Oreochromis niloticus: one gene and its partner. The main gene of each other region encodes a partner of the protein of the gene in region 2 in a complex. Links are inferred from orthologs where the notes say so. Each region holds a gene or a part of one and is shown on either strand. Other genes may lie near its edges.

Evidence for each region.
Region 1: the proteins of kank1a (region 2) and eif4a1a are in contact, whole or in part, in a crystal structure (PDB 7DDX), measured with the Mus musculus proteins. The link is inferred for Oreochromis niloticus from reciprocal best matches to the Homo sapiens genes KANK1 and EIF4A1. Residues at the interface, in NP_852069.4 of Mus musculus: Gly1168, Asn1169, Asn1171, His1175, Tyr1176, Val1178, Asn1201, Lys1202, Ala1203, Tyr1205, Met1209, Leu1210, Leu1213, Ala1214, Ala1215, Gln1240, Ala1241, Leu1248, Ser1251, His1252, Arg1254, Asp1273, Glu1274, His1285; in NP_659207.1 of Mus musculus: Lys99, Val140, Arg141, Val144, Gln145, Lys146, Leu147, Gln148, Met149, Glu150, Ala151, Arg168, Arg169, Tyr170, Ser172.

Annotation. Positions count from the first base shown.
Region 1 is NC_031967.2:1,645,766-1,662,151, reverse strand, and holds eif4a1a (eukaryotic translation initiation factor 4A1A), read right to left. Parts: upstream 8,151-16,386; 5' UTR 8,033-8,150; coding exon 8,010-8,032; intron 6,840-8,009; coding exon 6,797-6,839; intron 6,691-6,796; coding exon 6,558-6,690; intron 6,453-6,557; coding exon 6,313-6,452; intron 6,206-6,312; coding exon 6,037-6,205; intron 5,864-6,036; exon of another isoform or gene 5,723-5,863; intron 5,571-5,722; coding exon 5,461-5,570; intron 5,356-5,460; coding exon 5,212-5,355; intron 5,127-5,211; coding exon 4,989-5,126; intron 4,890-4,988; coding exon 4,800-4,889; intron 4,073-4,799; coding exon 3,993-4,072; intron 3,727-3,992; coding exon 3,582-3,726; 3' UTR 3,027-3,581; downstream 1-3,026. Other genes in the region: senp3b (sentrin-specific protease 3b), read right to left, coding at 11,635-11,745, 12,752-12,802, 12,929-13,012, 13,453-13,590. UniProt on the Homo sapiens protein: ATP-dependent RNA helicase which is a subunit of the eIF4F complex involved in cap recognition and is required for mRNA binding to ribosome.
Region 2 is NC_031977.2:35,885,058-35,901,808, forward strand, and holds the start of kank1a (KN motif and ankyrin repeat domain-containing protein 1a), read right to left. Parts: upstream 8,464-16,751; 5' UTR 8,193-8,463; intron 1-8,192. Other genes in the region: fbp1a (fructose-1,6-bisphosphatase 1a), read left to right, coding at 14,447-14,892.

The DNA of each region.
Region 1 (16,386 bases), on a different chromosome or scaffold from region 2:
ACGCTGCTTACGTTTGGAGAAAGAACAAAATCCCCACAGTCACACACAATGACGAGAGTACTAAGCTGTAGGGATGCTTCGGAGCGTCTGGAACTGTGAATGTCGTCAAAGTGGAAAGAATCGTGTAATTTTGGAAACCTGGAGCAGTCGGCAGCAAAACTGGGTCAGGGTCGTCGCTTTACCCTCCAACATGACAACAACCCCAAACATACGACTCTCGTGGTGAACCACCTTCAGAGCAACAAGTAAAAAAGCTCTGACTTGAATTCCATTGAAAGTCCTTGACAGTTTAATTTGGAGGAGCTTGAAAGTCACCAAGAATGTATTTGGATTACTTTGGAGATGTGCGAGTCTTGTTGAAAACTACAGCAAACGGCTGTTGCAACGTCAATACAAAAAATTACGATGAGGGGATTAATAATTCTGACCCTGGTAGTTTTATAAAATAATTTTATTACCGTGACGTGAAGTTGGGATGTTTGAAAAAGCTGAATTAAAAGTGTTTGTTCTATTTGTGCGTAACCAAAATCATGTGTTAACATCAGTTATCAGCGTGTCCTTAAAGCCAAAACTGATGAGACAATCATAACGAGAAGCTTCAGGTGAGTGTTTGGGTTGAATTTAGATCCAATAACTTCAACGTTATTTATACAGCACCAAATCACAACAACATGTGTTTTATATTGAAAGGTAAAGACCTCGACATTGTAGCCAGCTCTGATTAGTACTCACAATCAGAACTTTAAAGAATGATAACAGAGTACTATGTGGCTGTTTCGATGACTTTAATTATGCCGTACCATCTCCTGCTGACTGTGTGAACATGTCAGAGAATCAGAGACTCTTTTAATGTTAAAGAGCTTTGACCGTGACATTTCCATTATATCTCCTCATTCAGCAGACCCACGAAATAACGATGGGATTCAAATGTTTTGGAACGCATCAAAGTCCAAACAGCTTGATGGAAAGGAGGGGAAATCTGAATGAACAGAAATAAAGTTGGATAAAATAAGACGGGGTTTGGAGGTCAGAGGAGCGGGTAAAGGCTATAGATTTATAGGGGGAGAAATAACCAATGAAAACAGGGAAGGCCAGAAAATGAAGGTGAAAAGAAAGGAGGAGGGATGCAATGATGAAGGGATGGATGATGAAGGGGTGGGTGATGGGTTGGTGCAGGAGGGTGGATTTGGATGACAGGGCTTGAATAGACCTCTATTCTTCCCTACGCTGGCTTCTCTTATCATGCAAAACAGGCCCGTTCAGCCTCCCAGCCATCCGTCACACAAAGAAAGACCATGGCAGCCTTTTTACAAGCCTCACACTCACATAATCCACCCACCCCATCCCACCATCTCTCAACCCTGCGATCCAACACCCAACAGGGAGCGAGTTGGTACCCACAGTGTGCATGTGGCATTTGGGGGATGGGCACAGGGTATATTCACCACAAACAGCGCCTTTGGAAAAGGGACCACCTAACCTGAGAAGCAGACCACAAAGTAGAGATCTGCATCATGTTTTCAGGGTGTGCGGACACGATTAGGGGTCTACGGGAAGCTAGAACAGGCTGGCCGGCCATCACAGGGCTAACATTTCTCTATCTTACATCTCAGCCTGTGAGCTGGAAATCAGTCTGTGGATAAACTGTCGCTCCTCCAGAAGGCTGGGAGAGAAAGAACATGCAAATCCACAAGAGTGTGCATGTGTGCTACAGAGAGTACAGGGCTGATGATGTCAGTAAGGCTGAATCGACGTCTCCCTCTAGTGGACGGAGACGTTATATACTTGATGGCCTCCTGCAGTTTTGAAGAACCTGCGGATGGTGCGAGGCTGCTTCTCACAAAGCTTCTATTTGCTCAGAGGAAAAACACTGTATGCTTTTCTATTTCATCATTTTATATTCCAGCTTTATTACAAATGCACACGTGTATCTTTACCTTATCATAGACATGCCTTATGGCGTTACATGTTTAGTACTTTATTATGAAGAATTGCACTCTATGCAAGAGTCCATCAACCAGCCGTGGCCTCAGTAAACTGGTACGGTCTTTAGCTGCTGCACCCACGGTCGTGTGGGTCAAGCTTCCACACCTTTTCACACAAACATCAAATATCTGAATAAAAGCAAATTAATTCAGTCCTATAATGCTTCTGTTGTCTCAGAGCTGTGACTCTTTTTAATGAAGATTCAGCTCTTTATGAGCTCTCTTTAATTGGGAGGGAAAAAAGACAAGGGGAAAATAAATGATGGAAAACGCAGACACCGACACAAACGTGTCTGAAGATGTGAATATTATAAGAGTTCCAGCTCTAACAATGACTGCTCCACTCCATCGCCCACCTCACTGAGTGAGGTTTGCCACAAAAGTAGACACCACACAGGATTTGGCCAACAGAGGGCTGCTTTACAGCTTTAAAAAAAAAAAAAAGAAAAAAGAAAAGAATGTTTTTATTGTTTTTCTTTTAAAGACCAATAAAATAAATACTATACAGTATCCAATGTAGAAAACCTGATACACTGTCTCCAAAAAAAAAAAAAAAAAAAAGGGAGGGGGGGAGGGGAACAATCCATACATGGAGAAAAAAAATATTAGCACTGATAGCACACACCTCATGAGATAATACGAGAGCTTAGAAACTTTTGGTGGAGTGGAAAGCAAGATAAAAATCTCTATATACTTTTATATTTGTAGTTTGGTCCAGATGACACTCCCCATTCACCTATAAGATTTGGATGAGGTAGGTTACAAAACATGACCACAACCTTTTGAAATCTTATTTCCTGTTTAAAAAAAAAAAAAGAAAAAAAAAAAAAAAAGAAAAAATCCAATCTCAACAAACTGGAGATGGAGGGTGGGGGGAACAAACAAAAAACAAAACCAAAAACCCGCTTGGATCTGGGTCAGGAGGCCAAATCGCTACAACTCACCGTTTCTGCCTGCAAGCACTCCTCATCTGAACTCTACTGTACAAATGGCTGAACAGGCCCGAATGAGAGAGGAGGAAAAGCAGAAAAAGCACAGCAGTAAAGAGGATCAAATTGGTCAGCCACTGTACAGCTCATTTTATTGATCATGTCCCGTTTACTTCCAGAACCCAAAGACTGCTGTAAACATGATCGTGGGCGTGCGATGAACGTTGTGCAAATACACTGAAGATTGTTTAAATACTGAGCTAGTCAATCACACCGCGGTTCATTCAGAACACCGTCGAGTCCAGACTGCTCGGGTCAGCCGACCGACGCTGCAAACAGTCAAATCTCACACAAGCTTCAAATCAACAGTGTCTCTTTGCCAACAATCAGCAAGTATAATGTCATCACTGGACTTTAAATGTGCTTTTGGAAACAGTTCTGGCGTGAAGCAGAGTATTTAACCGCTGGGAGAATTTCAGGGTCGATAAAAGACAATGGCAGATGGAGCGGGTCAGCAAGTTATTCTTCCAAAATCATGTCAAATGCTGAAAGAGTAAATTCAGGGTGGAATTTAGAAAAGGAAGTTTTTAGTATTCGTATTGTAGGAAACAAGCTTTTACTTCTAAAACAATCGGATATGGGTGGACAAACAGAAGCGGGGAGTCTTCTAGATCAGATCGGCCACGTTCATGGGCATCTCCTCCACGGTGGTGTTGTAGAATGTCTCAATGTCCCTCAGTGTTCGCTTGTCATCCTCAGTTATCATGTTAATGGCTACTCCCTTTCTGCCGAAACGACCTCCCCGACCGATCCTGTCAAAAACAAAAAGGTGATTAAGTTCACTGTAGACATGTGGACTAGTCCAAATCACAGGAATGTCTCTGGGTTTACTGCTTATGCTCACGTCAGACAAAGTGCTCGCTTCATTTTACAATAAATGCAACTTCAGGGTCATGTGATTAACATGCCACGTAACAATTTCGCCAAAGTTGTCTTATAGCAGTTAAATTTGCCTGTTGTGAATAACTGCAAACCTCAAAATTAACCAATCATGTCTATAAACGGTTTATATCTTCACCTGTGGATGTAGTTTTCCCTGTTGGTTGGCAGGTCGTAGTTGATGACAAGGGAAACCTGCTGAACATCAATACCTCTGGCCTGAGAAGAAACAAACACCTTTACTTACATGGCACAATTTCAATTGTGGCTCTAACAGCGAGCCAGTGCAGGAGAAAGACACTCTGTACTCTTTCAGGGAGTACTTGGGACAGTCGTCCAGCCTGGAAGTAATAAATGCATGAACTAGTTTTTCAGCATCACTCTGAGACAGGATATTTCTAACTTTAGAGATGTTGCACAAATGGAAGAAAGCAGTCTTACATATTTGTTTAATATGTGCGTTGAAGGACATGTCCTGGTCAAACATTGGTCCTCAGTGTTACTGGAGGCCAAGGTAATGCCACTCAGAGTACGAATCTGGTTAGTACAATAACCTCAGTTTGACCTGAATTAGAGCTCATCCAGGTCTTTATGTCCATCTACAAATTAAAATTAGGCCATACATAAATACTTCAGTTTCTATTCAGACACCTGTGGTACACCTGGATCTTTCTGTGCACTCATGTCCTCAATAAGTGCTAACCCCACTTTTTTAGGTGGTGGGTCCAGTTTCTATGACCCACCACACCTTTACTCAGAAGTCTCTCAGGTGTTCTACAGGAATAAGTGTAATCTGCCAATTAGTTGTGAGTCAGGGATTTCAACCCAGCTACAGTGGAGGGCAGATTTCTGCTCTACCAAGGAACTTTCAGTCCTTTACCAACACTGCAGCTGGCAGGAGAGGGAACCTTGGACTGCAAACAGCACTAAAGAAGCCGTTACATACCAACAGGTCAGTGGTAATAAGGACTCGACTGGAGCCCGAGCGGAACTCCCTCATGATCAGGTCTCTCTCTTTCTGGTCCATGTCACCGTGCTGAAAAGACGTAATGAAATCTTACAACATGTACCGAAGGTTTTTCCACACGTGTACGTGTTCACACATCACACAAATAAAAGACAAAGAGGTTCGTACCAGAGCAGAAACTGTGAAGTCTCTGGCATGCATCTTCTCAGTAAGCCAGTCCACTTTTCTCCTTGTGTTGATGAAGATCACAGCTTGTGTGATGGTCAAGGTTTCGTACAAGTCACACAAGGTATCCAGCTTCCATTCCTGAGGACCACCAGGTCAGACCGTTAGCACAGCAAGCTCAGCATAAACACCCTGATCACAGGGAAAACGAGTGCATGTTTTTCACCTCTTTTTCCACATTGATGTAAAACTGGCGGATGCCCTCAAGTGTCAGCTCCTCCTTCTTCACGAGGATTCTGATAGGCTCACGCATAAACTTCTTTGTGACCTCCAAAACATCGGCTGGCATGGTGGCAGACAGTAGGACAACCTTAAAGAGATTTACAGAGATATCTGTCAGCTACAGGCCCTTTCCATACTTCAAGCCAGGACCTTTGACTCGGCCGTTACAGCGCTGACACGAGTGTTCTCCAACCTGGATGTTGCTCGACAGCTTCTGGAAGATCTCGTAGATCTGATCCTTGAATCCTCGACTAAGCATCTCATCAGCCTCGTCCAACACAAACATTTTGATGTATTTAGAAGCTGCAAAAAAAGGAACATGTTACACATCATATGGGCACATAACACATTCAGTTAAATCCATGTTTGCACACAGATACAATGGAACTGTGTTTAGGAATCACGTGCCACTAATGAGGTTTCAGTAATGAAGTGTCTTCGGGTGTAAAGGTGCCGTATTCAGAAGTAATGAACGTATGATCATGCCTCTGGGACCCTGCTGTCATGAAAGCTCGAGCCAGCAGAACGCCGACCAAAGCGACACCACAGCAGGGACGTACAGTGTCAGCTGACACGCATGGGTTTCATCATTATACAGCACTTATCATATACAAGCAGGAACAGACACAGGAAGGAAGACTACAATGTGGGGTGAAAGCGATAACTGACCTCTGAGGTGATCATAGTGACCAAAGAGACTAATGTTCTTTCCTTATAGTAACAAAATTTCAAACAAAGTAGGATTTAACTCCCTCTCACGAAGACTTACAAAGGTTTTTGCGAGTTAGCATGTCAAAGACGCGGCCGGGAGTTCCCACCACGATGTGTGGGGCTTCAGCCTGCAGTTTCTGGACCTCACTGCGGATGTTGGTCCCTCCAATGCAGGCATAGCAGCTGGCGCCCATGTAGTCACCCAGGGCAAGGACCACTTTCTGAATCTGGAGATTGAGTCAAAGACCAGACATTAAGCCATGCAAAAGGCTATATGAGAGATGCTATTGCACAATATGTCACAAGTGTTGGGAGAGGCTGTGTGGAAGCCAACCTGCTGAGCCAACTCCCTGGTGGGAGCCAAGACCAGAGCCTGAGTGCCTTTCAGCTCCACATCAATCTGCTGAAGGATGGAAATGGCAAAGGTGGCAGTCTTCCCAGTGCCAGATTGGGCCTGAGCAATCACATCGTAACCTGAAATTAAAACATGTGCAATTTAGTATCCAGGGAATTCTTGGAAATGTTAACTGCTAAGTAGTATTAGAAACAGACAGTATCACATATTGAAAGCACTCTTACCCTTGATACAAGGCATAATGGCCCTTTGCTGGATAGCTGAAGGTTTCTCAAAACCATAGGCATAAATTCCCCTGAGCAGGGTCTCCCGTAGATTCATCTCATCAAAACTATCCACAATCTGGTTCCAATTGCTCTGGAAAGGTTAGAAAGAGTCCCACATAGGTCAGTTAACTACATTCTGAACCTACTGCTGTGAAAAGAACATCAGTGTTTGTGGGAGTTTCATATGAGACACTTACCTCAATGATCCCATCTGGCTCCATGCCTTCAGGGCCATTGTCTCTGTGAATGACAGAAACTCACGGTTATCATTGCTTTCCAGCTACACTTGTAAATGACCATAATGAACTAAATCCCCTCTGCCCACGAATAATGATAATAAAAATAAAATCTTCTGTAGCACAAAAATATCCCCCTTTAAGTATACGTGCTGATATAATCATTACCAGGCTCCACGTTATATCATTCTTCCCAAACTTGGCGTGAAAAAAGAAGCCTTCGCCCCTTGTGCTGTGACGCGAGGCCTTGTGGAGAGGCCGCCATTTTTGCTACATACAATCAAGATGGTCGTTTCTCCATTCAGGGGAGGAAGAGTCAGGGGCGGGAGGACGCTTTACAGAGGAAACGCCGCCACGTCGAATGTGGCCGACTAGTCGACAAACTCCGACATCTTTGTGTTCAAAGCGAACGGATCGTTTAGAGTTAACCGCGATGCTAAGAGGAAAGCGGTAGAAGAAGCCTCGCGGCTTGCCGCCGAGGCCTGCTCCGCATTAGCCATTAGCAACAGGGCCTGCTAGTCTGTAACTGACAAAGTCGGCGAAAGCAATTGTTCATTTAAACGCGTAAGGCACAGCGCTTTGTGAAGGCAGCGTACAGCTCCACCACATGCAGCGCGTGTAAGCGGAAAAACGTCCATTTTCAGCGGCCTTAAAGCGGCCTTTGTTCAAAACGCCGACCATCCGTACTAAGACCATGTGACTCCACCGAACACCACGAAACAGCATTAATCCACCTTTACAGACAAAATAAGGTCAATCAGGTGTATTACACCCGAAAGTGTCGTAGTTCCGATCTTTTGGCTTCAATATCAAGTTACTACAAATGAAAAGAGGAAGAATTTTTAAAGGCCTACACCAGGCTTGTTCACGTGCTGTCGCCGGATGCCGATAACGACCGCAGTCAGTATTCACATCTGAAGCATTAAGACTAATATAACTTCTGACTAGCATGACTTTAACGATCTAAAACATTAAATCTTATTTCACACTCGTCTCCTGAAACGCGAAGAGTCCTAATGTTCATCTAAGACAAAAAGTCCTCGAATGTTACTCGACTACAAAACTCCGTTAAAAATGTGCATTCTTGAGAACATCGAGTAAAAATATGACGGATTGAAAGTGAAAATAAGCCCTAGAACTCACAATTTATGCGACCAAAAGTAGCCTTCCTTACCTGTTATCATATTCAGCCGACATTATTTCAAAGAAAGAATCCGCAGCAGAAATCTCTTATATAGGTTATGCGCACAAAGAGGCTTTCTCATTGTAAAAGCTCACCGTCACTTAGCTGTGGTCCCGCCCACAGGCATTTGCGATTGGACGAGCTCTACGTCATGTAAAAGTAAGCAGACCCATGGGGCGGACCGTTTCGTTTACAGTATGCTCGTAATTCACGCTCGTGCCCGAGTTCTTTAGCCAAAGAGGCGGGGTTTCAGTTTTTACGGAATCCGTTGGTGACGCAACCGGGTTTCTTCAGTCCGCCTGCCCAGGTGTGTCCCCGCTGCTTTCCTCAGACATTTACAAGCGCCGAATAAAAAATAAATGCAATTTTTTAATTGGGTCATGTAATGTCTTAATGTTCCAGCATCACGTTGAGTATTTACAGCCTATCAGAGATGAGTCTTGTGCGTAATATGCATGGATCACTCAACACACTGCTCTTTAAATGTATTCATACTCTATCACGGGAAAGAGTTAGGGTTAAAAATAACTATTTCTGTTGATTATCTCAATTTTTTTACTGAATCTGGATGATGGAAAAATCTGATGAGAGTGCAGTAGGTTAGTTCCATAAATGTAAATAAATAAATAAATAAAGCTTGAAAAACACATTTATATAATAGTACTTTTTAAGGCTTTAGAGAAACATGTGAAACAAACCATAACCACAAAATGACACCATGAAATTAAACTGAACATTGTCCCAGTGACAATAATGTGGCATCTGTACCTGGTTTAGAACTTCTCTCTTTCTAAGTGCCATGTCTTATCATGTATATGAAGAACTACCATGACCGTTTCTAGTCTCTACATGTGCTGAGAATCATTCAGATATTTGCTCTGAAATTAGGTTTTATTACTTTCGTTTAATGTGTTTTTTATTTCTGGATCTAATATTCTGTCTCTCTCCATTAAAATTAAACTACCATAAACAACTAGCCTGCTAATTTCTTTGTGAGCAAAATTTCACCCACTTTCTACACAGATCGATGCATTTTCTTGGTGGATTCTCTCATCAGATATGAACTGCTTTTCTGTATGGGGCCGATTTTGACTTCACATCATGTGGACTGCAAAAAAAAAAGCACTTGGGTTTTGGTTTTGGCTTGTTCTCTTATATCGGTGCTTATGTATTGTCTGAGTGTCGACACCTATCACTCAGGAAAATACTGCAGAGGCTTTCTTCACTTTAACAGCCGTTAGAAAGGGACTGTGAAAAGGTGTTGTGGCAGTGATCGAAGCGCCCATTACAGCAGGTATCAGTGTGAAAGGGTCTGCAACCATCCCCTCTGCAAACAAAGAGCTGGCTGAAAACCTGATACTGCAGGTTAATGAGGGACGCATTCAGACCCCTCACCCACCACATCCTGATAGTAGTCACTGTAAGGCCCCCTTTGTACTTTGTGGATGATGCAATCAATATAGGACTGCATTATATCCTATAATATCCAACTGTGCAAAGACTTATGCAGTTAGTAGAGTTTAGCGGCATGTTCAAGACCGTCAGCAGTGCACCCCAGCTTCTCCGGAGAAAGGAAACAGCATTGGGGAGAGTCTGGTTTGGTGCAGCCACAGCGCAGTAAGAACCTTGTTCAGAACTGAGATCACTATTACGAGGAACAAACCACAATGTGACGAGCTGAAGAAATGATCTAAGAAGACCTCTTAACAAAAACAAAACAGAGATCCTCTTTTTACTTTACTTTTTTATGAAACCCAAACATATTACCACAATTACTAACAGAGACACAGGAAAAAATGAAATGCAATGTAAATATAGTTATTTGAGCCAACAGGTCATTTCAATTCAATCTCCCACAAGCTGTTTGAGACTTGAAAGTTTGACTAGGACTAAATTACACCTGCAGAGCTTGTGGGGTGTTCCCTGTTTGCAGTGGTCCAAGGGAGAAACAGTGGGAAGAAAAGCTGATATGGAACAGTGCATCGCAGTGGAGACTGCATAGCTGTCTGTATCTGTGTGGCTGTTAAACACACTCTTTCAAGAATGCCAATGTCCACATTTTGGACAAAGGTTTGAAAGAGGAGTGAACGACCCTCTTTGAACACCGACACCGTCTGCCATCTACGATCGAGCTTTGAGATCCTTCCCGGACGCCTTAACTCACATCCTGGGCCTTTTGACCTCAGTAAGTCACATGATGGGGGGCAAGGTCTCACAATGGGTTCACCCGAAACCTTGGCTGACCCGTTTTCACACCTTGGCTCATGTGATTATGCAGAGAATCAATAGAGGGTCAACAGCCCTCTTAAGGACAATAGGGCTTAAAAATGTGGGACTGACTCTCAGACGAAACGTCTTCAAGAAACTGAAAGTAGTCCTTCCATTACTATGATCTGGACGAGTCAAAACTTACACACACACACACACACGTTTGCCACATATTTTTATTTTTAGCAGTCATAACGTATTGTAGAAGATATATAAAACAGCTCTCTTGCATCAGCTCCTTCTTGGGAAAAAAAAAAGCAAAGCCAAAAACAACTATTCACAAATTTTCTTTTGTTATAAAAAGAATAAGAGAGCACTGTATCTCCACTGTGGACATATTATGCCTGTTGTGTATTTGTGGTCCTCAACAAAATGGCTTTTTCAAAGAAATACTAACCAGAAGATCTCTAAATGAAAAAATAATAATAACAACAACAAAAAAAAGAAAGTCTTTTTTCTTGATTTTTTTTATGAAACCCAAACATATTACCACAATTACTGACAGAGATAAAACACGTTAAAAAATTAAATGCATTGTAAATATACTTCTTTGAGCCATTTCAGTTCAATCTCCCACAAACTGTTGAAGGTTTATGACTTGAAAGCGATCGAGGGGGGAAAGTCTCTATTGTGTGGGCCAGTATGAGGTGGGATTCATGGATGCTGCAGAAATCCAACTTTCCCTGAGATTCACCAGAAAAAAGTTTTACCTGCAAACATAACCATGCATTCCCACTGAACTCCAGCTGAGCAGGCTGCAGGAAAGGATTACAAATATTGTACATGGAAGTTTCACACTGTAATACACTGGAAAACATTTTGTGCTGAACAGCTCGTCCATATTGGTGGCCACAGCATGGGGTACGTTTCATTTTGCAAAGATGTCAAGTAATGACTGGCTGGATGGAAAAGTCACTGCAGCCCTCTAAACACAAACTCCACTGTGGGACTTCCTTTCATACTTCCTGGACGCAGGCTTTTCCGTACCTCAGTGCTCCCTCTCCGACCAGAAAACTAGTGGACTATCTTTACACGGATAACTAGCCCATCCCCAAAATAAGATGGCTAGTCTTGGCCTCTCACAACCACAAAGAACTATGACATGATATTTAAATCAGTGTTTTTCAAACAAACCGAGGGAAGCAAAACCAGAAAAAATAAAGTCAAACAATGTTCGCATCTAGAAGAATTTCTCTGCATGGTGGAAGAGAAAAAGTTAGGTTTGTAATGTTTATTTTCCCCCAGTCACTTGCTCCCATTTTCCTCTTGTTTTAACACTGTCCCTCCATCCTGTTAGATTTCAGGGACGGAGCAGGTGTAGCTGGCCACAAAGGATGGAAAGTAAGGGTCACACCATAAGCTTGCAGTGACACAGTTCTTTGTACATCTGTCTTCTGAGGCGGGGCATGTCCTGCTGCCCAAAGCTGAACTGCTGCCCGAGTGCCAGACACTTGCAGTACTGCAGGATAGCAGAAAAGGAAGGGTCAGGGTTAGATTCAGATACTGAAACACATTTAAAACAACCTGATGTGTGGCAGTTACCATCTATGCAGTAGGTACATGTGTTCCCCTCATAAATGCTATAAAGAAGTGAAACTGAGGCTAATCCAAACTGTCCACGGCTAGCTCTCAACAACAGGAGTTCGTGTTTATATTAGGGCTGGGTGATATATCGAGTATATTCAATGTATCGCAAGTTTGTCCACGTACGATGGTTAAAATGCTTTTATCGTAACCATCGAGTGTAGGTTCCCGCACGCTGCAAATGCATCATCAATCCCCCCTCCTAGCTGGAAAATTTTCTACCCGCCACACTGCGCTGAGCATGCGTGTTTATATGCTACCAGATGGGGAATAATATGGCGACAGTGGGAGTTTCAGAGTCGCTGTCGTTTGGATTTCACGAGGAGGATGTCGAACAACACGAACGAACTCGGCATGTCAGCATCTCCCCACACACCAAGGGAAACGTTAAATACACCAGCTGTGATTTGAGCTATGACGGCTATTGTTGAGAGAAACAGAGTCCATGTTATTGTTTATCGTTCCTGAAGCATATTCGTGGCCGCCTTCTGCTGCTGGCTCAGTTCATTTTGGTAAGAGAGTGATGAAACCTCTGCTGTTAGACAATGTGACGTTTGCTTACATGAAGCCGAGTGAGTGTTTGGCTTCGTTGTTTGTGTTTAGGCACATTTCGCAAAGTGACGTAACTGCTCTTTTAATTGTTGTTTTGGCTGTTTGCAGAAATGGTTTCTATGAGCTTGTGGCTGAGACTTGAAAGTTTCATTGGATACCACACATGTCGATATTTACATAAAAAACTTAAACTGCAGCCCACCCCCTTTGCTGCTCAAGATGTATCAATATATATCGTGTATCACGATACAGCCCCCAAAAATGTGGCGGCATTAGATTTTCTTCATATCACCCAGCCCTCATTTATATGCACAATGCAGAAAACTCACCTGTAACACAAAAGCCCCACAGTCACTGTCATTGTTCTGGCGGCCCACATTCTGCAACATTACAAATACATTAGCATTAGCAATGGTACCAATTCAACTAAAGTCTGCTTCTCGTATCATTTTTACTTAAAGTCTCACCAGAGCTTTGTTAAGTGGTATAAAGAAAAATCCTTTTACCATTTTGAAAAAGCCGGTCCATCCTGTCAGGAAGTCTTGCTGGTCTTTTTTGATGGCTTCAGCTTGCAGGTATTTGTAAATGTGCTGGAATCAAAATGAACACATTCAAAGACACTGCAGCAATTTCCAAAAACAGAGATTCTGACTTTGAGCAGTATATTCATGGATGACAATGAATGGACTTCTTGAATAGACTATATGTGTGACAGCCCGTCCTCTCCTATCAGCAACTGAATCACTGGCAGGACAGAGAGAGGAGCAGCTTTGGACCCCAACATTTGGGTTTAACACAACCCAACTGAAGACAAAAACTTTGGTCTTTTACAACAAATTTGTAGCGTTATACAATAGTAAGATTTTTTAAAAGCAACAATATTAGCTAACAGAAATATCATGCAGCTGCTCGTTTGCAACCATTAATCATTTTGACAGAAACCTTACTAAGCATCTATACCCACTGACCTTTCTTTAAAAACTGTTCAATCATCCACTCATTTCTTTTCCAAAAGCTTCCTGATCCCTACCTTTGGGCAACGCCTGTTCAAAGTCCTCTGAGAGTCAAAGTAGGTGATGGCTCGACGAGGAATGTCAACACTGACCAGCGACCAGTGGACCTCAAGGTGGATGGGGATCAACAACAGATCCTTCTGAAAGATGTCGACCTATGGTCAATAGAAATAAATGGATTACACAAGAGTTTGAGATGTACCAAAAATCTTGGTTAAGCTATTAGTTTTCAATGTTACGATGCCCCCCACCCTGTAACACTAAGCCAGCTGTGCTCCTAATGTGGTCTTAAGCAATGTAACTAACACAGAGATGGAAAAGCTTGTAAAGCGGCGTAGCGGCTGCTAGCCAAGAGCAAATTCAATTATGAACCAAACAAAGCCAGACGCTAACAGTGTGAGAAGTATGTTCTTCCTATTAAGACAAGCAGATGAGTAAAGCTGTCATAACATTTTTCCATGGGATTCTATAGGCAGTGGAGATAAACCACATGCAAGCATTTCATTGTTTTGGTTTATATTTGTTACACGTTTCAGATCAAACTAATTTTACCCTCTCACATTTATCCCAAAACACCTTGATGATCGAATATCTTTTTTGAGAATATTCTGTGTAAAACTAACAGCATTGAATATGATAATATATCATAACGTGATATTATAATATTAAAAAAATGATATATTAATAAAGCAAGGTGGGGCTGGAGTAATGTCCATGGCTGCTCTGCTGCTTCAGCACCTGGACGACTGTAATTGATTCAAACATGAACTCTGACCAACCATCAGGTCACTCTGTAAGCTTAAACACAGGTGGGTAATGCAGCAGGACTGAATAATCTCTAATATTTAATTATGTTTGATGATCTTAAAACTTGTGAACAAGACAAACGTGCAACGGGCATATCCTTGTTCAACAGAGCTGTCTGTTATGTTTCAGCTGGATGATCAGGGTCAAACAGAAACGGAGGCACGCTTTATCTCAATACAAAACTGTAAGTAAAACTTTAATCTCCAGACAGTCGTGGGATCTTTTTAGTCATCAGATAGCAAGGTTGCATAATGATGATGTGTCTTCTATGTGTATAATATTAGGATGAGCTTTAGAAACCAAAACTATTTTATATTTATAAATGAAGTGGATCTGTGGATATACACTTACAATTCAAATGTAAAAAAAAATATTCTGTTGAAAAAATAAATTGTAATTGTGTTATTTATATTATTATTCTCATGAAAACTGGGCCAGACTTTCAAATCTTAATTTGGAGAAGCAGCTAACTAAATGTATAAAGCTGATTGTTTTTTTCATTCAAACACTAAAAAGTGCGACGGTTCCTTTCAGGAGTTTGTAACAAGCTGTAACAGTATCCATGTAAAGAGAACATGCCTATCTGAAACTATACAGGAAACATCTTAAGTTTATTTTGTAACAAAGAACCTCTGAAGTTTGAAAGAGGACTGGACAACTCAGTTTTGGATGAACTCTCCATAAAGCACATACAAAATTGAAATACAAACTAGACTTTTGTCTCAACAAAGTCAGTCTGACGCCTTGTTTTTGACTAAAGATCCCAGAGAAGATGAAAATGTTCCATTGGAAGTGTCAGTAAATACCAAATTAAAAAAGCTGAACCACAGTGGCGTATGGCCTAAAGCCAAAGCACAGAGCAGACAGAGCTGTGTAGAGTTCAGGCTTTGTTACATGTGTGCAGTATTTAAACGACATGTTTGAATGAAAAAAGGACACAAACAGTCAGATCTAAAAAACAGAAACCAGGACATGAAAAATATATGTTCATTTTCATTTTGATGTCACAACTTTCTTTGAAAGTTAAAACTGAAGCAAACTGACATTTACAGCACTGAGCCATCAGAAAATGGTCAGAAATGTACCGAAACATGCAAACACACGCATGGAAATCTAAGGCAAAATACATTTGGTGAGACCAGCCTGAACTCTCCTTGGTCACGTTTGTGTAACTCATTCAAGTCTTCAGTAAAAACCTTCTGGGTTTGAATAAAGATCAGTCCAAAGTTCTTTTTTGTTCCCTTTTGTTCCCTTCTCCCCTTGAGGGCGCTACCCCAGCTAGGTCATTCCACGACTGACGCCATTTCATTGTTTTTCTATCCAGGTATGGCTTTGCTGCATTAGCTGTGTTTGACATCATTGCTGTCAGATGCTTTCCAGCTGGAACTGAATGGTGGAGCAAACTCTCAGTTTCTTCTGCATTCACAAATACTTCAGGTTTAAGAAGATCCTGAGCTGGCTGACATGCAGTCTGTGTTTTACAGATGAGACACCTACTGCACCTCTCCTGTTCATCTACAATCTGAAGCTAAAATTTCACATTTGGACGCAATTTTTAGCGTAGTTGTTGAGTTGTCTGGCACTCCTCAGCTTGTTGTCACAGTTTTCCTTGCTTATTTATTTATTTTTTATTTCCTTTAGATATACATTTACTACATCTAGTACTACTTTTGTCCTCCACTTGTCCAGTTTCTTGAAATCTTTGACAGACTGCATACAATGCTAACATCTGCAGACGTTTACAGGTAGAAGCTCTTTGGGATTCACCGTGTTGGTGACAGAACTACACGGCAGTGTTCAAACAAACCAAAGAAATCAGAACCAATAATCTGTTTCAAAACTGTGACAATGTTTCATCCTTTAAGTCCCCCAGAAAAACACTACTGCTCAACACCACTCAGGTCTTCCTCCTTGGAAGCAAAGACTTAAAGAAATGGGGGGGGGGGGGGGGGGGGGGGGGGGGGGCTCAAGACCTCTGTGGAGTTAGTAAAGTCAGAAAACTAATCTGTGTAGTTTTGAAAGCAGAGAGTTTTCCCCATTCTTCTTGATATATGATTATTACTAATAACAGCACCTTACCAGATGTGTAACATAGAGATTCAGTGTCACCAGTATGCCCACCATCACTGACAATGATCTTTGAA
Region 2 (16,751 bases):
CATCGTCACCTGCCTGTGGAAAGTTCCTGAAACTGATGCAATGACCTCTACGACAGTCTGTTACTACAGCCTGAAAGACTTTACTGTACTGGACCGAAGGTGCTCCTCGCACTGATGCACTTCGCTGTCGATTTACAGGTTTGCACAAATGGCTGCCATCTGTGATACAAACTGCCACAATTTGTGACGCTGCAAAAAAATTCCCAAGTGTCCAGCTGATTACTTCCACAAGTCTGTAAAGCATACAAAGAGTTTCCTGCCTGGGTCGGCAGCTTGCAATTACAGTAGATCTGATAAAGTGACCTGATACAGGCCAAGAGGACAGCTGCTGTGCAGGGTCTGTGTGGGGGGATCCATAACCCACATCTTCGCCTGTTCTTAAACTACATGAAGCTCCACAGACTGTCGGCCGTGTTCTACACATCACATTTAAATGAGGCATAAATGAATGCAACAGTTTCCCTCCATACACAGTACCAGCAAGTAGGGCTGCGTCTTTCACTTTCTCACCTGTGCTCCTTTTTATGCTTTTCTGCATTTGGTACTCAAGTACTTGTTGCCAAGTTTAAACAAGATGGAGACATGGCAGAGAGGTAACCAGCTCTCCCCTCGTGAATGATTTTTCACTTCTGATTACTTCTGTATTGACCCTAAAAACAACTCGAGCACTGTTCAAGCTTTAATGTGGACTCCGATGTAACGCTTATCACACAATTTTGGTGACTCTGGTCATCCTGAATCAACACTCTGTAGAGAAATAAAGTCCTCGTGGCTTTTCTTTAACCGCCTTCATTCATCTCATCTTTTGTCCACAACCACTTCTTGTGGTGAGGCCACAATGCAACTGTGTAGTGCATCTATCAGTTCAAAAACATGCTAAAAACCACAAGGTCACATGACTGAACACAGCATCACTCTGCAAGTGATCAGGAGGAGGTTGGTTTTTGAAAGCACCCTAGAAAAACAAGTCGTATCAGCCTGCGTCTCATTAAAGATGCCAAAACTTTCATTTTCAGACAGATGCAGAGCTTCAGAACAGGAATGTGTAGAGAGGCAGCTGTAGACACAACAGACAAACCCCCCGCCCAGCAAACCACGGCTGTACCCTTGAACCGGTTCACACTAACAAGCAGATCAAGTGAATGACTCGTACTTTGCAGCATTTAACATTACGTGCTCTCAGCAATCAGAGCAACAACAGCAGCGTTTAACGCAGGTTTATCTCCCGAGCAGCTGCAGTCACACAGCGGCGGCATCTCCACACACTCAGACTTCGCTTTGTTCCTCCTGGATAATCGCTCGAAAGAACAAACAGTGAGTTTGTTTACACGCACATCAGCATCCAAGTTCTGGTCAGATTACAGATAATGGTAACTGCATGTGAGAAGAGAAAAGTGTAAGAACACGATGCAGGTCTCTGATCGTCTGAGCAGTTTATGTGCACCAACATCAGAGTTTAAATCTGAACTCAATCCCAGGTTAAAAGTTCACCTGACTTTCCAAACCATGGATCAGATGCTTACATCAACAACACACCCCAACACCCAAACCATAACTACCACCATGACTCAAGTTTCCTGTTGCCCCACATCTCCATCCAATAAAATATAACATCCACTGCTCCCAGTGACCATGCAAACTTAAAAACCTGCACCAGCAAGTTTTAGAAACTAAACGCAACTTTAAATAAATAAAATGATAATAACACAACAGCTGTATTAGTAACTGCTGCACCTTGTTTTACTCACCTTCCTTCCTCAGGATTTAGAAACCTCAAAGTTTTCCTGTAAAAGCATTTCACAGAGCTGCAGCTGGCACTGAGCAGCCAGCACTACCAGAGAGAAACGAGGGATTACAGCAGAGACGTCACCCGGCGCTGTCTCACACAGCAGAGCCAATCGCAGCCCGGCCACGCAAACGCTGAACACACACACAAAGTAACCTGACAATAGCAGCCAGTGAGGGAGGCTGTAATATGAGCAGCACGGTGACCACTGGGCCGAGGCTCTCGGCCGTAAACAGCAGCATCCCTGACAGGGAACAAACTCAACAGCCCTTTCTGAGCTGCAGAGGATGATGGGAGATTCAGACTGAGGCCTGTCAAGCAAAATAAAGCTGCAAAACTCATCTAATGAGCACTATGGTGTATTTTAAAGTGCTTTACTGTATACTGAAGGGATTTGTCCTTACAAAAAATAGGCATTAAAAGCAGAGCTGGAGTCAACATCTCCATCATCCATTTACCTCAAAAACAAAACAATGAACCAAGAACTAAGACATTTGGCAGTTGTATTAAATTCATACTAAGGTTTGTATGTAAATAAACGAGGCTTGAATGTGTCCCGCGCACATCTGGCTGGATCTCTAATCAGCAGGTCGTCAGACCCCCGTACTGTGGAATGCTTCAACTTGACAAGCAGAGTCTGTGCATGCCTGCATAGCTGAGGGATTATCACAGTATCAACTGAGCCCTGAATCCCCTTTGCACCTGCCTTGTCCTGCTTAATGCACAAGAAACGTGTGGGATTTCTCGCTCCCTCCTCTCAGACTGCTCACCTTTCATTCATCAGCAGCTCTGAAAGGATAATGACAGGCTGTGGCTGAGCCGTTTTTAAGAAGCGACACTTCCCCCTGACGTGCAGAGCAAAGGATGTTTGGTTCAGAGAGGAGTCGAATGTGCCGCTGCTCCCCGTCTGCAGCTCCAGAGTTTTGTGGTTGGAACAAGACGACGGGCTAATAGCTCGTCTCGTGTGTTGGACGCCTTCGTTTCTGATCTATATGCACCACAAAAGGGAGTCAACTCCCAGCACCTGATCCACCAGACAATAGTTCTTACTTTCAGTTTTAATAAAGTTTCCTCAAAGAATTATGAAATATATTGTAGAAAAAAAAAGTCTCTGTGAATACGAGGAGAGAAGTTAGCAACAGTCCTTCACCAGCACATGAACCAGTTCTCCACCTGCTGCAGGTGCTCGTGCTACACCTGTAAGCCACGACGGTGCAGGTCAGGGAGCAGTTTGCTAAGGTCAGCAATGGCTGAACTTTCAGAGCTTTTCTGGGAATTATCTGCTCAGAAAACTGACAGCATGACTTCATGGACAGATGTCAACGTTGTTTAAGAAAAAAGGCTTAAGTCACCGACTATATGCGGTAAACAAAAAGTTCCTCGACCACCTGAACAAGTCTATATTAAAGTATTTCATCATTCAGATTTTGATTTTATGACCATTTACCTGGATTTTTATTAGCAATTCTTTGTTCTGCTCCAATAAATATAAATCATAATATCAATAATATTCAAATTTTCACCTTGATAAGAGAAAAACTGGACAAATGCCACCCAATTACTTGTACTTATTTTAATATAAAAAAGGGTTTTTAGTCATTTTTCTTAAAACACAAAAAAAACCCTCCAGTTATTTTATAATCCAAAGATTTCCTTATACATTTATTCAAGTTTTTTAATACTGACAGGTCCAAATGAAGTCAAAGTCACATTTGTTTCTATCCAAGAAGGTTAACAGATTCTTACACGACACGCCTGCACTGATCTGAAATATCCACAAACACGTGCGTGTCTGGAGTAATAAACATTTATACCTGCCCTGAAATATTTGTTGTGTTACTAGAGAACAAACTCATTTACTAAGATGAGCAAGCTGAAAACTGATTTCCCAGAATCCCACACTGGATCAGTGTGCGAGGCGTCAGCTCTACACTGGAACAATAATCTCCTTCCCCCGTGAGGGTTGGTGTGTAACGGTGTTCCCGCTCAGCCTCAAGTTCTACACACCATCACTCCTCCCATCAAAGTGAAAATTAAAAACAATCATTTATTGCAAGTCTCGTCAGGCAGAGTGCGTTTCCACGAGGGCGTCTTCCCAGCACATCATTAATTCAAAAGGTCCCATTAGCACTGCAAAGATGGAGTTTTTCACAGCCAACACAAGCGAGGCTGACACCAACACCCGTCACATATCGGCTGCTGTCCCAACAGCTCAGGTGGTTTAAAGAAACGAGGTCTGCGAGGAGCCGAAGCTGCTCCAGAGAAACAAAAACACGAACGGCTCATTTCAACTCTTAATTTCATAATGTCAGAGGTCAACGATCCCTTATTGATCGTCTGTGATACGAAGAGCACGTGACGACTGTGAGGGAGCATGAAAGAAAGAACAGGATTAACATACCAGGAAACAAAACATCTTTGTGAAACGCACTCCGAGGTTTAGGCAGGGTTAATCCCAGCCACAGAGAGCAAAAACCTTCACTCCTTCATGTTCGCCGCAACAATTTTCTACCCAACAAGAATCTCGCAAGTTGAAGCATGCAGAAATGAATCATCGGCAGGCGGAACAACAGGGATAAAACACTATCCGAGGCTCTTTGGCGGACCGCTGACATTCATCGTGATAGTTCATGTGTCCGCTTGTTCTTATGCAACTTGTCAGTGAAATTCAAAATCACAACAACTTCACCTGGTTTGCTTCATAATCTCTGCAGGTAGAAGCAGTTTACCCTCAGCCTCGTCGGGCTGCTTCTAAACCAGCCCCAAAGTTAGGAATCCTAATTAAGATTCAAATTAAGAGGCAGACAATCCCCTCACTCAGCCTTTGTTAGCCAGCTCGCTCTGAGGCGGGCTCTTTGAAGCAGCCTTTGGGCCTCAGCAAGTTAACCTTAGATTTAATCCTGGGTTTTCTGTGTGATGAAGGAGATTCACTTCTTACTGCGGTATCTCACCGTCATATGTTTCAGCCCTTACCTGCCACAGAGCAGCTCATCTTCAAGACTAGAGATCAACAGATACACAGAGGTTATGTTCCAGACTGGACCCAAAATGTTGGCTGTGCAGAATAACTCCAGCTGCATGTCATCCATGTAAAACTACAACCAAACAATGAAGCATCTAATGCTATAATCCCCAGATACCAAACAGCTGTAGAAGAAAAGAAATAATCTCACCTCTGCTTTAAGTATCAGTCCAACACACCTCACAGGCTCCTCTACAATCTGTGCCAACACACACAAATGTCTCCCAATCCATCTCAGGCCTCTCTGACTCCATTAAGCTGCTAAATCCACAAAAACTGATTTAAAAAGAATTTCGTGCAGTCCTGCCAGAGCTTTGATCACCGCGGTAATAACTTCCTTGCAAATTTGCAAACAGCGTGGTGCCGACTTGGCAGCTGCTCCGAGCTGCTGGAAATCTGTTAGGATTCCCTGAAGCTCGCCTTTACTCAGAATCAGCTATGCAAGCCTTTTCATTTCAGCCCGTCCACTGGTGTTTTTAAAATGTTTTATTTATATCCAAAACTCATGCACTGTGACCGCTCAGCGGAGGTGCAGCACCAGTTTCATACCAGCCGATGCTTCAGAATAACTGCAACAACTGCCCAGAGTGGCTGCAGGACGGCAGCTTCACTGCAATTTGAAGCTCTTTTGCTCATCTCCAGTGTTCCCCGACTCTCTGACAAAAACACAGGCCTGACTTATTCTTACTAAAGGCAATGATGACTCTTTGCCTTAACACTATGCAGACCAGCTGGGCTTCAGCGTCAGTCACCAACCAGAAACTCCATTTTGAGCCAGTAATGGTCCCAGTTTGTTGGTAAAGGTGGTCAGAAACCAGACAATTTTCATTATTTTTATAAATAGCTTACTGCAGAATGGTTGAGATTCAGAGAAGCTCATTGACACTGAGTAAGCTGTGTCACCTTCATTATGTCCTTAAATAAAGCTGTGAGTCATTATAGAAGCTGGTGCGTTCAGTGGCTCTGTACAGTCGACTCTCGTCCAGCATTACTCCAACTTTTTTGATACAAAAAGGTTCCCAGCCCATGTTTTAGAGGGACAACAAACTCATCTGGACAGAGAATTAAATAAATTGCAATTTAAAGATCAGTGTGGACACCTCCTCAGACTCTCCAGGTTCATGCTACTTATGTGTGGAATCTCCTATCTAAGATCTCCCTGAACACATTTATCTCCTCTCAAATGCATCTTGGGCTGTTCTTGTTTTTGCATCAGGGGGCTCTTATGGTTTGAGTGGAAGATCCACTTAAACTAAAGTACATTTGATCTTGTAATAACAGGGCAGACCCCGAGGCTCATGTAGGCCCTCATCCCACACGTTAAAGCTGAGCAGCTGTAACGACTCCCTTCACCTCCAGTCCAGCCAGTAAGAGTGGTTTCTTCAGGGTTACCCAGCAGTGAAGCTTCACACAGAAAGCATTGAGCACAGATGTGCATGCACGTAAACACTAACATTTTCAAGTGAACCCAGGCAGAGCAGCTTTATTTTTAGAACCAAAAACGTGCAAGAGAAGCACAAACAGGAGACAAGTATGCACAGATGTTCAACCAAAACTAAAATTATAACTCAGCAACCCCCTCGAGATAAAATTACAGAGAAAACACCACGGCAAGGACTCCACAAAAAAACTGAACACCCACAAGAGAAGCGAGGCCAGTCGTGACGTGCAAGCTGCTCACACAGAGCTGTGGAGTGGAAGTCATTTCCTCTAAACAAACACAGGAGGGGTGGGAGTCGTAATCACAGGCGGGGGAGGCGGGGGAGGCGACACGTCTGAGCGGATGAGACCCAGCTTTGATCCTGCGGACGCGAGGGTCGTCTCAGTCAGGCGTCATTTCACAGACCTCCACCGCATGTCCACGGATACCGAGTGACCCGCCTGATGATGTGGACCCGGAGCGCGACTAAGCCTGAGGTACCAAGTGACGCCGGGCTGCACCGCCGCCAGATCTGCTTTAATGTGTTTGTAAGAGAGCAAGCCAATCACAACCTGAGATATTAGCAGCCTCTGGGTCAGCTGGTCAGCAGACGGGCTCTCAGTCTGCCAAATTCTCACTGGCAGTGCAACCGCAGTGTTTCCTTCATGAGGAAGAGAGCATTAAAAATCAATAAGCTTCCAGAAATAACATTTTTAATCTCATCTCCAATTTATTCTTATGAAAATATTAAACTATAACAAGCTCCCTGCAGTGAAGTAAAGAACACCTGAGCTGACAGAGACACTGATATGACCCTTTAACCACCTTAAGGTTAGTGAATGACTCACTAACCTTCAAACCCCATTAAAGCTGTTAATCAGTGCTACAAACAGCAACAAAGCAGCTTTGAGAAACAACTTTGCAGAAAGTGAGATGCTTTCTGCAAAGCCACAAAATGCGAGGCATTCGGGGTCCTGAAGGAATGCTTTGTGTGGCCTCCTGGATGAAATCTGCACTTATTATCCAAGCGTAGAAAAATGGATCTTGAGATATGCAACAAGTGCCACAGTGGAAGCTTAAGAATTTCATTAAAAACACCTTCACAATGCTCATATTCTTCCTCTTGACATATCAGTTCCCTCATCTCTACTGAAGAGTGGAAAGGCCTGTGAGCCAGGAGAGGATGAGGAGCCCTCTGTTTGACCCCAGCTCTTCACCAGCACAATGGGGACCACCATCCAGGTCTGAGCCCCCCCCCCCAATGCCTCAGCTTCCCACTGCATGAAAACAGGTAGCTATGAAGGAAAAGTGCCCAACACTAGCTTCATTCAGCGGCATTTCGGGGTTGATGAGTGACCTTTAGAGCTCCACGGAGACTCTGTTGTTAAGAGCTCATCCCGCACTGCGCTACGAGGACGCGGCTGTGGAAACAGTGCCACGAAAGACATTTCTGCGTTCTTGCGCTTTAGCTGAAGGTGAAGTTGTCCGCGAGCCTGTGGTGACACCTGACTTACACTGAATCCAAGCGAAGAAGGCTCACTGAGGATTTAATCACGAGTGGGGTGTGCAGGGTAATGAAACCTTTCTCGAGGGGCGAATCCCCGTGAAACCCTCCTCCGTCTCTCGCCTCCGGTTCCCCGCTCTTGGAGCTCAAAGTTCAGGCTCATGACACCTGCGCGGCGCAGACGGAAGTGAAAAAAAAAACAGCGCCAGATTACCTGAACGACTCCCAAACACCAGCTGACTTTAAATATAATCCAGCTTAACCAGCAGCGCTTCATGGGATTGTCTCGTCTGCTCGCTGCAGGACCACCTGGCCGACAACACGCACCGAAGACACGCTCAACTCACGTATTTGATTAAGCAGAGGGCTCGTGCACGCTTACACGCGCGCACAGAGACACCTGGGAGAGCTGAAACAGTTTAAAACACACTTTGTATTAGCAGAAGCGACTTTAACTTACCCCACGCTAATGCTTCCCGGGCTCCTTTAGAGGTGCAGCTCCTTTCCTCGGACTCCTTTCTGTGCTCGGGGTCGGAGTCTCGGAGGGTAAAAGCTGGGTAATGCGTTAACTTTGCGCAAAAGTGTGCAAAGCTGCAGTCTGTGCCCGCCGCACACGGAACGTCCCCTCTGCGCCAGCAGCCTCTTTGTACTTGTCCGCTCGTGCCACAGCTCTAAGTTAACCCGCGGTCATGCGCAGTCGGTGCCCTACCAGGAGCCCAGTCTGAGCTGATGTGAAGGTCAGTTAGAGGCACAGGTGTTGCTTTACCTGCGCACACTGCTCGGCCTACTTACACTAGCTGAGTCACGAAGAGCAAACAGCGCGCTCCGTGACTCAGCTTCTGCTTTAAAACTCAGGTAAACGTGTAGGTTAAAGCAGTTAGCACATCGTTTGCTAACCAGTGACTGCACGTTGTGTCGTAAAACTTTGACCACACAGGGGGAAAAACATGTACGTTACAAAGTTAAATGACGTAAACAAATATACATTTTATAGTTTTAACTTACTATAACTAACGAAGATGTTCTTCTTCCGCGATACAATATAGTGCTCGGGATGATAGAGGAAAGCCGTTTCGGTTGGCGCATTAATATCAAGTGTTTTTAATTGTTCTGTGTCAGTTAATCTTGTTGGGGTTCATTTTTAACCGTTTTTAAAATACTTACACTTTCAAATAAACCTAAATATCTAGCGCAGACACACGAATATGAACATGTACATAAAATTATCAATTTTTCAAAGATAAATGATAAAAACTAGTTAAAGAAACGCATCCTCAATGCTTTGCACAGTCAGCGTCCCGCCGCAGGCTCTGTTTGTCCGACAGCGCCATCTTGTGACCAGTGACGTTAACAGCGTGAGGCAAAGAGAAGCCCCGAATCTAATGTGGTCTGTGCAATAAACACGCAGCACTGACATCTGACTGTTTACTTTCATCGCACATTTAAAGCCAACGTCGTTATTTTGTTTTCATTAGAGAAAATAACTGTAATTAAACCTGATATAGATCTTCTATTTGCACGGCCACCGTTGGCACCTTTGTCCGCCAAATAGTTCATACAGCTTAATAGCATAAACCGCAGTTTACAAATGTGCAGCCTACAATGATTTATGTGTAAAAGAGTGAGTACACAGACGTGTGTCTACACACAGAGCAATTTGATCTCACCTAAAAATATTTTTCAAATGGTAAATATCAAAATTTGAATAAATGCTTATAATTACGCGCCAAATTTTAATTTAATGTATATAAATCTGATCGTTTTCACCTTTAAACGCTATCTGTGCTGCAGGACAAACGTCTAAAACTATCTGTGACATTATTTTCACAGATTGTTAAAAATGCACAGATGACGTCACATGTGCACGTGGTGGGGTTTGAGACTTTTCACGCTGCCGACCCACAAATGTAAGCTGCGTTTAAGTGCTAGTGCAGAACTGGGCCAGATGTCCCAGTTCTGCACTATTAATAGTGACTGGATTAATATGACTTATTAATATGTGACTGGATTTCGTCTTCTTTTTTAAATACAGCGATGTTTTTGTTGTTTTTTTCCTCACCCTTCGACTACAAAACCTACATCTGTCAATCACAGTCTTCATATGGAAGCCCAAGAAAGTTAACATATGGTTTAATGTCCTGCTGATGCTACAGGTTGGATGCTGGACGCAGGAAAACATCTCTGAAGTGAGTTCATGCTCACTAATCTCTTGAATATTTGGGATATAGATATAATCCCGGTCATCTTTGATAGCAGCGGACTGGCGCTGAGAGCTTAAGGACTATTAAACAGTCAGTCATCTTTATCACTTGATACTTGTTTGCTGTTCCTGAACTGTCAGTATTTTGTCTCATCACCAAGTAAACAGCTTCCTGCTCTCAGCTCATCAGGTTAGATGAAGCCTGGAGATGGTGATGAGCTCCTAGTGTTTGTTTCCAGTTTTAAGTTTACAGATATCATTTTTGCTTGAAGTACTTTGAAGTCAGAGCGCTCGTCAGCAGTGAAGTATACTTTATTACTGGTTCGTGTTACAGAGCCACGTGAGATTAAAGGCTGAAAGATTGTGGTACTAATAAGACAAAATGCTTCATCTGACTCTTTTCATTACCCTTAACAGTCAGGTAAAGAATACCAGGTCTGAATGTCTGCACTGAGTGAAAATAAATTATTATGAGTTATATTTGTGTTGAGATTCAGTGAGTTTATTCCACTGCACTGAACTGAAAAAGCAGATTTACAGTCCTGAAATTTCTTAAGTGTCACCAGTGTTTCTTTTTGAAGCAGCGTTTCTCTGTATTTTTGTGGTTTTAAGGGCGTCAACTGCATGTAGAATATACAGGTATGTTTAAGCTGTTCCCCATATCATTCTGCAGCGCTCGCAAAATTTCAAAATCCCTGGTAGCCCTTCGGGCAGGCACTCTTCAGTTTTTGGTAGCCCAAAATAAATTTAAGTAGCCCGAATAAAAAAGAGAGCAATTTTTTAATGTTTTGTTTCCTTTACAATATTATACATTAAAGTATAATATTGTAACGGAAACAAAAATTAATCAGAAAATTGTTAAATACAAATCACAACAACTGTATAAAAATCACAATCATCAACTCAAATACTTGGTTCTAATTGAACAGAAATTTCTATGAACTTGTAAGAACTGTGTAGACCATGAATCAGTCTGTGTCAGATCCTGAATCTGAAATTTCCACTGAAGTCACGGGTAAGGGGTGAGTGGAACCAAGATCGAGGCCATTTGCTTTTTGAAGTTTGCAAAAACTGCTAATTTGGCCAATGGTGGTTCACTCTTTGCAACATAGTACGCTTTTGAAAGATTTTTCAGGACTTCTGCTTCTGCTTGGTTTATTTTTAGTATGTTTTTTGCAATTGCTGTTTGTTCTGGGAAAGATATTGCAGACTGGGTGTTATGGCCCTAGCTGGGCCTGTTAGGATGCCTGGGTCGTTGACCCAGGGCTTTTGAGTTTATTATATTATTTATCATTTCTAGTCTTTGGTTTCTTTCTTAGAGTTCCGTCTTATGGTTTATGTCTGTGTTCTATAGTTGCTGTCTCCCCTGTCGGCTGTATCCCCTTGTTAAATTCGCGTCTCTGTGTTATGTTTCCTGTTTTACTTTGAAAGTCCTTGTCTCATGTAAATGCGTCTGGTTGTGCTTCGTTTGTCTCGTTAGGCCTGATTTGCCCCAGCTGTGTTTCCCTCCTGTTACCCATTCCCTGATTGCTCCCTCTGTGTATTTAAGCCCTGTGTTTTCATCAGTCCTTGTCGCGATCTACCCTTATCTTGCTGTGTGTTCTGTCTATGTAAGTGTATTTTGTATTCTTAGTTTTGTTACACTTTTGAGTTCAGCATTAAAGCTGTTTTGAGTTCACGTCTGTCTCCGTAGTCTGCACTTTGGGTCCTTTTCCTGTCTGAACACAGCCTACACATAACAGGGCCTCCTGAAACTGCCCTTGTGTGGGCGTGGTGTTTTTCCCCGCCTCCTCCTCTCTTGCCACTCCTACCCCCTCTGTTTCTCTCACTCTCCTCTCTCCCCAGGACACAGCTGCTTTTGATTAGCCTCGTTTGCAGTATAATGCATTTCTTGCGTTTCTCATGGGTTCTGATGGGGTCTTTCTTAAAATTACTGGTCCCAGTTACAAAGGCGCTTGTCGACTCAAATGAAATGAAACTCACAACACACCTGGCAGAACATCATGTTATTTAGCTCATCATATTCCAGCCACATAAATTCTTTTGTCCATGAAACCAAAAAAGCTGAGCTTTCTTTTTGTCTCATAGTCTGATTTGTCATAACTTTTCCGTTTTGTGGTCGGCTTTTCATTGGCTGCCCCTTCTTCACCCTGACCTGTCTTATTTGGCTCAGCAGAACTAAAATATATATCCTGCTGCTTTTACACACGTACTTACATAACGGTCAGCGATTCTCTGCACAATCAACCTCTCACATGTTTAAGCTTGCTGTGGGAGATTTCACTTGTCAGGTTTGAATAGTAAGCTAATGAGTGATAAGACGATGTCAGAGGAATTGGTGCGCAATTAATCGTCACTTACCAATCAGTACTGCCGCTCTCTACACACCGTTCGCACGATCGCAAAGTGAAAGCAAAAAACAAGCGCAAATTCAAACGCGATTTCAATATGTCACATATTGACAGTGGCTCATCGATGCCAATAACATAATTACTCAGCTACATTTGCTAAAGAAAATGCAAAAGCATTGACACATATTTTCCCTTCCTATGATAGCCCGACGGGCAGGGCTGAGATAGATTTTGGTAGCCCGACTGCAAAAATCGCTGCCCCGGGACGTCGGGCTAGCGATTTTGCGAGCCCTGATTCTTCTCTTCTGACAGTGTGACCCCAAATATGTGTTAGTACTCTGGGAAACAGTGTTTTGTGGAGGATCAGATTTCCTTCATGGTTCTGACTCGGTCTCTTCTAAACTACACAAACATCACTGTGTTTCCATGTGTGCGTGTAAACGGGCGTACTGTTAAACATGATGGATTTTATTGAATGTGCAGCTTCATCACATTTTTCCTTTCCTCATCGGTTTTATTGAAGCACATGATGGACAGCTTGCTTGTGAGTCTTACACCCTAAAGCAGTATGTGGTAAAAAATGGTTTTCAGCTCCATTGCAGCATCTTCAAGTGTCACAATCGCACAGTGTTCAAGAGGAAGGTTAGAATTTCTTACAATAAGTAGAACATCAGAGCATTGGACTAACTTTTAGAAAAATCTTTCACACTCGGCGTTAAAACAATGCAGACATTAAAACTGTTCTAACTGGAAGCTCATCGTACTACCACATACGGGACATGAGTACTAATGTCTCTGCACTGGGTTGTTTTAGCCTCTTCGCGCTGACTCACAGCGTGTTGTACAGTCAGTTTCATGTTTGCATGAAGCGTTTTCACTTCACTCGGTGTTTTCTGCATACTGGAGTTTTAGGAGTTCAGATCCTCATCACTCCCATACTTCCGTTCGACGTGATGGTTTTATGACTTCAGTTGATTTGCATAAGTTTCGCCATTCAGACCCTGACTGAGGCTACGTCCACACTAATGCGTTTTCGTTTGAAAACGAATCGTTTTCTCTCCGTTTTGGCCTCCCGTCCACACTTTCTAAAACGCTGACGTATTTTTAGGCTACGTCCACACGTACACGGGTATTTTTGAAAACGGAGATTTTCCGTTTTCGTTTTAAAAAATAATCCCGTCCACACGTAAAGGCAGAAATGAAGGAAAACGCTGCTAGGAACATGCCAAAGCAACAGGTGGCGCTATATTCCTAACCGTGTAGAAATGTTGGCCAATCAGAAGTCTAGAAGCCTCGGTGGGAAATAGTAAACAAAGATGGGGCATAGAAGCAGAACCGAGTCGTATGTGTGGAGGGACAGTAACTATGTGTGTATATGTAAGCATTTAAACACTGCAGAGAGTACAATTAACAGTAACAGTATTGTAGAAATTAATTTCACCGAAACAACAACGTGGCGCACACTGTGACGTCAAAAAAGGCGCACACCTTTGACGCTGTGTTTTCTCCGTTTTTCTCGTCCACACGTAAATGCAAAAACGGAGTTTTCGAAAATATCCACCCTGGCCGGAGTTTTTAGAAATCTCCGTTTTCAGTGACCGAAAACGCCGTTTACGTGTGGACGAAAGGTGCAAACGCATAGAAAAATCTGCGTTTTCAAAAATACCCGGGTACGTGTGGACGTAGCCTTAGTCATGTGATGCAGTCATGTGACCAAATAAACAAAGCTAGCGGAGTCCATTATACAGTGGTTGTTTTGATTGCTCTCAATTTTGACAGCCCTAAAAAAGATGAAAATCAGTCTGTACATGCTCCAGATAGCTTTTCTTCAAATTCTTTAATTCTCACTCGCTTTTGCGCATGCGCAGGACTGGAACGTAAGCGTTTTCATCCGTTTCAATGTGGACGCACAACTCTGTGAAAACGACTGAAAACACGTGTGCACGCGGAGCGTTTTCAAATCTATCCGGGCTAGTGTGGACGTAGCCTGAGGCACTTTCGTAACCCCCCTCTGCAAAACTCGTCAGAAGTATGAAATGAGCAGGCGAGCGTCTCCAACAGTCTGCAGCCACTAATCTTTCCAAAGAGAAAATCCAGGGCAACACGCTGAAAAGTTCATGTGCGCAAGAGGAATGTAAACGCTGACTATCGTGCGCAGAAACAATGCGTGTCCGCACTCCTCGTATCTGTGTCGGGCTGTCGCTCTCAGGGAACAAAAGTCTGAACTCGGGCTTGTGCAACTCTCTTTGTTCTGCTCATATCCTTGTGTTTGTAACACTATCGTGTCATCGCTGCACAGCTCAGTGTACACAGCGGGGCCACACCTCTCCTCTGCCTACATTCCCCCCACGGCTGTCCACGCGCAGTTCCGCGTTGCTGCCGCATTTAAATCCTGCAGAGTTTCCTCAAACCCGCAGTTCCAGCGGCTCACCCGGCACCATGTCCGACAGCAGCACCTTCGACACCAACGTGGTCACCGTGACCCGCTTCGTCATGGAGCAGGGCAGGAAGGCCAAAGGCACGGGGGAGCTGACCACGCTGCTCAACTCGCTGTGCACAGCGGTGAAGGCCATCTCCAGCGCTGTGCGCAAAGCTGGGATCGCCCACCTGTGAGTGAGCCACGTTACACACGCCGTTAGGTTTGGAAGTAGTAGTGATGGGTCCAGCAACACTGGCGCACCGGTGCATGTATCAAGCTCACAGAGCGAAGCCTGTATCGGTGCGTGTGTCGCGTTAAGAAAAAGTCACGTGATCGATACAGCCGCTGTATCGCTCATTGCAACGCTCCAAACTGTTAAAGGTACCGCATCCGTCAACGGAATGAGTCGCCACCCAAAAAAACTAAATTACTCTCGCAAAGATAAAAAAAAAAAAAAATGCACATCTCTCCATAATAAAATGGAGCCCGAAAGAAAAAGAAAAGTTTCTGCTGTGTGGGATCATTTCGATCTTTTAACTGGAAATAAGGTAACAGTTTGTCTTTGTTTCAGTGTAATCTATCAGAATAGGAAAAACAGCAATGTGACCTGCAGTGTAAATTATTTATTTCACTTTATGCAGGTTAAATGTTGCATCTGTTCTGCGGAGCTTTCTTACACAAACAAAAGCACCTCCTCAGTGTTTAGGCATTACAGAGCCAAACATGAAAATGAGGAGACAAACACACTGAGAATGAACACAGGTCGGCCTATGTAGACACTGAGCAGCATTATCATCATTTTTTTTTATTAATATGTGTTTTATTATTTTGAAATCAAGCATCTAGGAAGACTGTTCTGGACCAGGCAGTCCTGATTTTTATTATAAAGGACTGCCAACCCCTTAGTATTGTGGAGAGTGTTGGAGAGAAACATTCTAAGATCAGAGGATCCTTTAACGTACTGGGGGGAATAGGAAGACATCTTATCTTAACCTTTTCCACCTGGCTTTACAGTTTTTGTGTACCCCAGCTTCATCTGTGCCTGTGAGCGTGAGTTTTCCAAAGCTGGGGAAAACGCAACAGACTGAATGCAAAAACATTGGATAAACTTATTTTTTCTGAATAGAAATTTATAATTAACTCTGAGTCAATTACATTTAAATGGGTAATATTACATTCACAATACTTTCATTTTAATTTTCACTTAGTGTCATTCATAATATATTTTATAGATGTCTACAATATTTGAAATGTAAACGATATAAAATGATTCCATGGAAAGTACAATACCTTACAGTGTGTACAAGTATGACTAGGTCATTGAATCAGTGTCTGTCTCAAGTAAGTTCCCTGCAATGATATTTAAGGTCCAGCAGGTGTCAGTAAGGAGCAAAACAGCAACACTGTGTCGACACAGTATCGATACAGTTTGGAGAATGTGCTGAAACGCTTCACGAGGCCTCATCTACCCATCACTAGGAAGTAGCTGTTACGGCCCTGACGCGCACTGTTCCGTACTTGAATGCAGCGCTGTCTAAAGCCCTCAGCGGCACGCATCCACGTTGGCTCAGGCTGTTTAGCAGGAGGCCAGGTTCTCTGCGCCAATCAGAAAGCGCATACCTGGAACAGACACGCCCATTTTATGAGACGTCCTTCGGTCCACAGGTGGTTATTACTGGGGTACTTGTGTTTTTTTACCCTGAACGGGTCGGGGACCGTGCCAGCCCCTGTTCCGGGCTCACTTTAATATCTGCGTTTCTCTTTATTTCATCATCGCCGAGTTTAAAACGTCTCCGCTGGTTTATGTGAAATAAGAGAACATGTTGCATGTTGTTCGTGCAGAGCTGTGTTTCAGAAGTGCAGCGTCACGCTTCTGTTACTCTTATTTATTCAGTCTGACTGAACAATGAAGTGTCTGTGATTTAATTCCACCCAAAGACTTTTTATTCAGTATCCAGAGCAGCCACAAAAAGTAGTCCCAGTTTTACACAGGCAGGCTTACTGCCTGTCCCTTGAGGGAGGGTGTGTGTGTGTGTGTGTGTGTGTGTG